Linked DNA regions of Elephas maximus indicus. The protein of the gene in region 1 purifies or fractionates together with the protein of each later gene. This does not show direct contact. Links are inferred from orthologs where the notes say so. Each region holds a gene or a part of one and is shown in the gene's direction. Other genes may lie near its edges. The genes, in order: MED13L and CDK19.

Region 1 (3,911 bases):
TCCGGGCCCCGCGAGGGGGCGGGGCGCCCACAGAGCACTGGGCCCGGTAGCCCACCGCCCTCCGGAGGGTCGGGCCGACCGCACTTCTTTCTCTCCCTCCGCGTCTCTGCCCCTCTTCCCGGCCCGAGAAGCCGGCCGCGCTCGGCTCAGCAGCGCCTCCCGCGAGCCGCCACCGCCGCCGCCGCCGCCGCTCCCGGCCCCTCCCCCGCCCGCCCGCGCCCCCCCGCGCGGCCGGCGCCCGTCACGTGACACGGCGCCAGCCAATGGCGGGCCGAGCCGCGGTCGGCGGCCGCCATTGCTGTCAGAGCGAGCGAGCCCGGGGAGGGAGGAGAAGCGAGGCTTACTGGGGAGGAGGGGGGGGGTGGGGGAGGAAGAGGAAGGAGGGGACGTCGCTCGGCTGCCGGGGTCGCCCGCTGGCTTCGTCCGCACCCCCCCCTTCGCGAGTTCGCGCTCCGCGGCGGCGGCGGCTCCGAGGCGGCGGCGGCGGCGGCGGCGGCTCCGGGGCTCGCCTCCCCTCACGCGCCGGCGGGGGCTGAGGGGGAGTCGGTGGCTGGAGATAAACAAGGCGGCGGCGGCGGCCGAGGAGCAGGGAAGGCGGAGGCGGCGGCCGGCCCGCAGCGCCGGCCCGGGAGCCAGCGGCGGCCCTGAGAGGCGGGGAGGGCGCCGGGCCGCGCGGACAGCGCCCCCCGCTGCCGCCTCAGCCGCCGCCGCCGCCGCCGCCCGAGCAGGAAGGAGCCGCGCGGCCGCCGCGGACCCCCCCGCCGGCCCGGGCCCGCCGCCCCCGGCGCGGCGTCGCCGCGGCGCCTCCCGCCCTCCTCCTCCTCCTCCTCCGGCGGCGGCAGCGGCCCGGCCGCCCCGCGCTTCCCGGTGAGGCGCCGCCGTCCGGCCCGGCCTCGCCTCGGACGCCTCGCTCCGACATGCCCCGCTCTGGCGGCCGGGCTCGCGGAGGATCATGACTGCGGCAGCGAACTGGGTGGCGAACGGGGCGAGCCTGGAGGATTGTCACTCCAACCTCTTCTCGCTGGTGAGTAGCCGGGCTGCGGGGAGGGGGGCTGGGCCGGGGGCGCCGACCCCGCCGCCGACCCCGCCGCCGATCAACTTTCTCCTCCCGCCGCCGCCGCCGCCGCCGCTGCCGCCGCCGCCGCCGCCGCCGGGACTTCGCCCCTCCCCGCGGGTCGCCTCTGGCCGCTGCTCTCCCTTGGATCGTCTCTCCTCCGCCTTGGACCCCATCCAGTGTTTATTTGGCTCTTTAAAAATCATTTGTGAGCGCGGCGCCCGGCGTGGAATTGGCATGTGGAAGTCTCAAAGCTGCGGATTCTGGGTCGCACTCGGAGCGCCCACCCTCTGTTGCAATCACACCCCCTCCCGTCTGCCCCCCTTTCCCCCCAAATGTGGAAGGAAGGCTTTGCCTGCTGCTGCCCGCGCCTGCCGTGGGCTGCTAGCAGCCTCGTCCCCCCGGTCGGATCGGCTGTCCGCCCGCCTCCCTTTTGAATTTTTTTTTTTTTTTAAATGCTGTAATGACACCTGCAATTTCGCCCGAAAACAGTTGATCGAATGCGATTGTGTCAGTAAAGGACTCTTGCACCCGGAGCTGCCGCGATTGTAAACACCGACAGCCGCCCGCCCGCCTCTCGGGGCTCAAACGCCGGAGAGCCAGAAAGCCATTGCACCGAGCCGACGGAAGGTGGAGAAAGCTTTTTCTTTTTTCTCTCCCCCTGTGTCTTTTAAAAACTGTTTTCTCTATCCTAACAACGAATCCACACACACACAAAAAAGCAACAAGCTGGGCGGTTTGATAACATCGCTTTTATCTGCCTTCGCCTGGCTCCCTCTCTCTCTCTGATAATTGACAACTTTTCCCTCGGATTTGAATCGCCTGCCTTAATCTTGAAGCAGTTAGGGTGTCAATTGTTCTCCTGGAAGCCCGGCACCCGACGGCGGCGGCTAGATTCATCGAAATTAAAAATGTATAGGACTCCAGCAACTCTTTCCCTGGCGGTGGCAGTGACATTTGGTGGTAAATGCCATCTTTGCTTTTTATTGGGTCGTATTACCTTCTCTGAAAACATTCACGTTGTTAAACCTGGCGTTTAGGCTAATAATTGCAGTGCGTGGTCTTTAAATATGTGCTTTGTGCATGAGTTACTGTATGGAGAGCTATGTGCCCGGGAGAGTAGGAATTTGTTTAAATATTGAGCAAAGGTTTGTAAACAGATGTAAGGCAATTATGTTTGAAGCGTAGAATATAATTGGAAAATTGGCTGAACGGTCTATTTAATTTAGTCTAAAAACAAAAACCAACTTATTTTAACTTGGGTACACTGTTTTGGGGGGATTGCTTTTTGGAGAGTATGCATTTTGGAAATTATTTTCTGTAACCTCTACTGTAGACGGAAGCATCATTTCCTTTTAATCCTTGTTTACACTGGATAAATAATTTAGTGTTCAAATTGTAATTAGTTACATTTAATTATGGGTGGCATAGATCCCCCCCTTAGGGACTAGTGGAGAAATGCAAATTCTTGCCAACTTTTCAAATAAAGTGTTATTAAATATGTTACAGTATTTATGCAGATAAAAAAGTCAACACATGAGATTGTTAGCTACAAAGACTGAGAGACATAGTATCCATGCTTCTACTATAGTACAACCAGGTTACATTTTTTTTTTTCAAACATTCTTATTCAGATATATAATCTTTAAATTCATTTTTAAGTAGTAATTCTTCCTTTTGGTACTGTGATGATTTTCTTGTGATCTTTTAACATATGGGAGTAAAGCTCATTTTGTCTTTTCCTTTTTCCCCTATCACTTAGTATCAGTCAGGTTCAGGGACTCATAGATCAGCAAACATATTGATTAAGGGGTATTTAAAATGTTTTTTGTTTGGCAGCTGGTGACCGCATTGACACTTTTACAGGTAATTAAAATAACCAAATAGACCAATATTGGTGAGGAGAGAGCCCCCAAATTACCATATATCATACTGACTGGTAATGGCTTGTATACGTATATGTGGCTAATTTATATACGGTAGATTAGACAACTGCAATGTATTACCTGTATAGGCAGTGTCTAGGATATATCGTTGCTTTTATCTTCTTTTTTTAAAAGCTAAGTGAGAGTGATAATGTCTTAGAGATAAGATGCTTGAGATTCTTCTGGACAAACAATTTTGTAGGCAAGGATGCTGTACTTTGATTATGACCAATTCAAGTTTTGTGCTTTGAGTATATCTTCCCTCAGCCTCTTTAAATCAGGAAGAGATTTTTGAATATATCTTTTTTTTTTTTTTTAATTTTAAGAATGACTTTTAGGTAGCAACTTTCAAATTCAGAACGGCAGAAATGCATAGCTTGATTTTTTTTTTAAGGACTATAAAGTGTTTAATTGCTACATTCTTTGGTACAGGGAGGGTGGGTAAGGTGCTTTTTTTTTTTTTTTAAATGATGAATCAGTTAAAAAGCTGCTGACTATTATAGCTCTTTCTGGTTGCAAATTGAGAATTTTAATTGAAAATCATATACAGTAGCACCCTAGACTATTAAAAATATGTTGCTTAAGGTGCATTATATGGAATAGTTGAGACTGCCAAGAGATGTCATCATCACCTGTTCAAAATAAAGCATGTCTTGTAAGAAGAATTCTTAATATGTTAAATAATAGCATATATTTTTCCTTGTGTCCTGTAGTTTTTTTTTAAGTGGAGAGAAGTATTGTTTATAGAGAATTTACCTAGATACTCGTATTAGTGTGGATTGAAATATAAACTGGAGGTTAAAGTTCTGTACCACAGTAATGACCTTGCCACTTTCTCTTACCTTAAAGTGTTCATTATGGTTTAACAAAAGTCGGTTGTGCAATTGGGTGCCTTAAGATTTCTGCTTGTGCTTTACTTATGTTGCTTTCAA
Region 2 (3,911 bases), on another chromosome or scaffold:
CTACACAGTTTACTGTTAATTTGCTTACATGTTTATTGCTACAATAGGTTTTAGTACCCCGAAGGAAAAAAACACAAGTTTTTCACCTAGTATCTCCAGCAGTTATCATAGTGGTTTGCAATAAGAGAAACTCAGTTACTTTATTGAACATGCCTTCAAGATCTGAGGAAGCTTCCCAGGCGGGATTGTTGGAGTAAACAAGCAATTCTCTCCTCCCGCCCCCCTTTCAGTTTTCCAGGCTTCTTCCAATACCTAGCAAGCAGAAGTCACTATAACTTTCCCTACTTCAGGCAAAATCGATCATTCCCTCCTTCGTGCTCCCACCGAATGTAGTACATAAATCCTATCCTAGCATCAATCACATTTAAGTTTGTATTTCGAGTATCTGAGACTTTACGAACACAATAATGAAATGAATCAATGTTCATAATATGCATAGACCATATATATATAAAGCCCTTTTCAATCCAACCAAAACGATTGTTTTTAAAACGCTGGATCTTCTAGGCATTCCGATTGTTCTTAGATGGTCAAAGCTTGGCTACCAAAGTTAGGGCGGAAGACCTACTACAGCACCACGAAAAGGATGGGGCTGAGAAGTTATAGGTTCTCTTCAACCAATGCAAGAACTAAGAAACTGCTGACGGTTCAGCGTTTGAAATAATGTATTTGCATCGTAAAGAAAAAAGATTAACCTATCAGGAAGAACTGAGCACAACCAATCAAAAGCGGGAAGGAAGCCAAAGACTGGGGATACCCACGCACCAACTAGGACGTCATTCTCTAAACTCCGCCAATGAGGGCCAGATGAGGGGGGGGGGGGCAACTGGAGGACAAATTGCCAAGGAAAATAAACAACAATCTGCAGTAGAACTGTTCTATTACAACAGTCCTCGCCTCGCAAACCCCTGGAGTAAACTTCTGGGCAAAGCACTTGTTAAGTACTTTCCATATTCCTTCTCGCCTGGAAAATCAGACTGGAATTCCTCCTTCCTACTAGAACAAGGGCCTTTTTCCACTAGCTCCCACAGGCTTGCAGAAAGCACACTGCAACTTGGCGCTTTTTACCTTCACTGGGAGTCCAGCGCTACCTGAGGGGGAGGGGCGGCCCCAGTGCGCCGGCGTGCATGCCTTGCGGAGGCGCGGCTCTGGGCCCAAGGCAACGTGGGAGTTACAGTTCTTACGGTGGCAATCCTTTAGCCAATCCTGAGGCCTTCAGGACTACATTTCCCAGGAGCCTCCGCGACCTTGGGGCGGACGGGCTGGTTCGTTAATGAGCTGTAGGAAGCCGCGGCGCGGCCCACCAGGTTCCAAAACAAGGAAATGAAGGGGGGAGGCGGGACTGAGGGTGCCTGCGGGAGCCGTCGCCGCTGCCGCCGCAGAGGAGGAGGAGGTGGAGGTGGTGGTTGCCGCGGCCGCCGAGGAGTCCCTTGCTGAAAGCGGATCGCGGAGCGGCTGGCGGCGCGCGCGCGCCCGAGAGGCGGCTGTTGTAGAGAAGTGGAGCGGCGGCCGCGGGGGGAGGAGGAGGAGGGACTGAGCGGCGGCGGCCCCCACGTCCCGGTGCCTCTATGGGGGAAGCAGACAATGGATTATGATTTCAAGGCGAAGCTGGCGGCGGAGCGGGAGCGGGTGGAGGATTTGTTTGAGTACGAAGGGTGCAAAGTGGGACGCGGCACCTACGGGCACGTCTACAAGGCGAGGCGAAAAGATGGGTAAGAGCAGGGGCGGGGGGAGTAGGGTCGCTCGGGTCCTCGCCCTGTCCGCGAACGGGCGGGATGGGTGGGTCGGAGCCCTATCGGACCGTTTCCAAGGGGCGCGGCGGAGGTGGTAGAGGGGCCATGTCCCGGGTTTGACTCTGAGAGACGCCCCCCTGCCCCTGCGGCTCCGTCGCGCCCCTCGAGCTCCCGCGGCGCAGCCCGGTCGGGGGCCGTCGGTCCCATGCCGAAGGGCGCTCTCCGCGTACATGGAGCAGGCGGCGACACGAGTTTGGACCTCGGCTAGAGGTGGAGTTGGTGGGGTCTGGTCTCTTGGGAAGACGCGGAGGAGTTGCCGCTCCGGCCCTGGGCTGGTGACGGCGGTTGTTGAACTTCCAATCCGCTGAGTCCCTCCCGGGGGCGGCGGTTTGAAACCTCGCCGCGGAGCCAGTCGCGCGGCTTAGCGCCTTGGTCCCCGGCAGTCTCCCGGGTCTGACCCAGTGTGCACGGCAGTCCCAGCTACGACCTCCGCCCCTGGGACCTGCTAGCCGGAACTGGCCCTTCAGCTCGGTCCCTCGCGTCCCTGTCGTGTTTTGGACCCCTCCTCACCCGTCTCCGCCCCGCCCCGCGCCCCGATTTCACACCCTCACTCTGAGTTCCGCTCGAATGTGGGACGACATCCTGAGAGAGTAACCGCGTTTTGCCCGCGAGAACTTCAGAGTTCTGCCAGGTTCTCTGGCACCTCTTTTTCCCTCACCTTAGGTATTCTTCTGTCCATCACTTCGTTCTCTGCCAAGTGACTACGTGCTGGGGTTTACTGGGCATCTAGATTATCAAAAACGGAGTACAGAGTGACACAGAGCTGGGCCTGAACCTTTGTTTTCCTGGGAGTTGAGGGAGAACCGTAGGACATCTTCGGGAATCTCCTACCTCATTAGAAGTCGAACTGGACGATATTACGAGTAGTTGAGCTCGAACTGCAGGACAGGTGGAACCAGCTCTCTGTGATGGGTGGCCAGTTATTACCGCATGTCCCATCGTTGTAGGAATTCCCCTCCCCCAGGGTTAGGGCGTCCAGAAAGATCTGCCTGCCATGCTTAAACTGCATAAAGACTGTCAACGTGTAAAGAACAGAGCTTTAGGGTCGTATTGAACATTTCCGAATAAACTGAGTATCAGCCACACTGACATTAGTAAGATTTGAAGGGCCACTTTCTGTGCACGCTGTTGCAATTTGATATGGTAGGTTTCTGAACTCTAGGACCAAAGTAGGTAGGTTGTGTGTGTGAATGTGTGCGTGTGTGTGTGCGCGCGCGCGCTTGCCCACTAGTTTCATAAAGGGAAAAACAAAACACAATTACTGTAAAGTTTTGGAGACATTTGCCCCTAGTTTTTTCCCCCCAATCTAGAGTTGGGTGTCAAGAATTATGATTCTCTGTACAAAAAATTTCAGAAATATTTTCTGTGAAAATATGTTGAAAATTACAAATTTCAGGATTATTATTATTGTTATTATTTTTTCTTTCTTATGGCTAAACAGGCCGGATAGTACTCAGTTGTTTGTGAACTTTTGTCATAATTCTTATAATTGCCAGGTGTTCTTGAATGAGTATCATGGGATGTGAGGTACTATAATTAACTTTTGTTTTTGAAATATGTACTTTACTTGTAATACTGGTGTTCCTGTGGGAGTGTTATCAAATATATTTGGGGAAGGCACATCAAGTTTTCCTGTTTAGACATTGGCATTACAAAATAAAAGTGGCTCTTTTCACACTCCTCGTGGTAACTTTGTAGTACACTTGACCTAGAATTTTTAAATGTATTAAAAAAATTTTTTTTGATTAAAATAACTTCCTTTTAGCAGACAATTTCTGAGAAAAGTTAAGAATTTTCTTCTGAATTGTATTTGAGTAGCATGGGCTTACAACAACAACAAACAGCAGATAATATAATTCCTATTTCCATTCTTTTTGAATATTTCCCCCCTCTAATAAAGTTGTTGATTCAAATACATATCCTTCTTGAGTGAAATTTATTTGATTAGAAGTAATAAAGCTGCGTTAGTAGAGGAAGATGGTTTCATCACATCAGATTGGTTTGTGTACCTTCAGCATAATATGCCTTTTTTTTTGGTGAACTTTTGGCCCATGAAAGCATTTACTTAAATCACTATATAACATGTAAGAAAAACCATAATAAAGGTTTTTTTTCTTG

The links.
Region 2: the proteins of MED13L (region 1) and CDK19 purify together in Homo sapiens (affinity purification with mass spectrometry; 5 studies listed by BioGRID and IntAct, counting the BioPlex papers as one, with this or other methods). This does not show direct contact. The link is inferred for Elephas maximus indicus from reciprocal best matches to the Homo sapiens genes MED13L and CDK19.

Annotation. Positions count from the first base shown.
Region 1 is NC_064840.1:14,031,020-14,034,930, reverse strand, and holds the start of MED13L (mediator of RNA polymerase II transcription subunit 13-like), read left to right. Parts: upstream 1-860; 5' UTR 861-952; coding exon 953-1,024; intron 1,025-3,911. UniProt on the Homo sapiens protein: Component of the Mediator complex, a coactivator involved in the regulated transcription of nearly all RNA polymerase II-dependent genes.
Region 2 is NC_064819.1:176,759,494-176,763,404, reverse strand, and holds the start of CDK19 (cyclin-dependent kinase 19), read left to right. Parts: upstream 1-1,276; 5' UTR 1,277-1,584; coding exon 1,585-1,712; intron 1,713-3,911.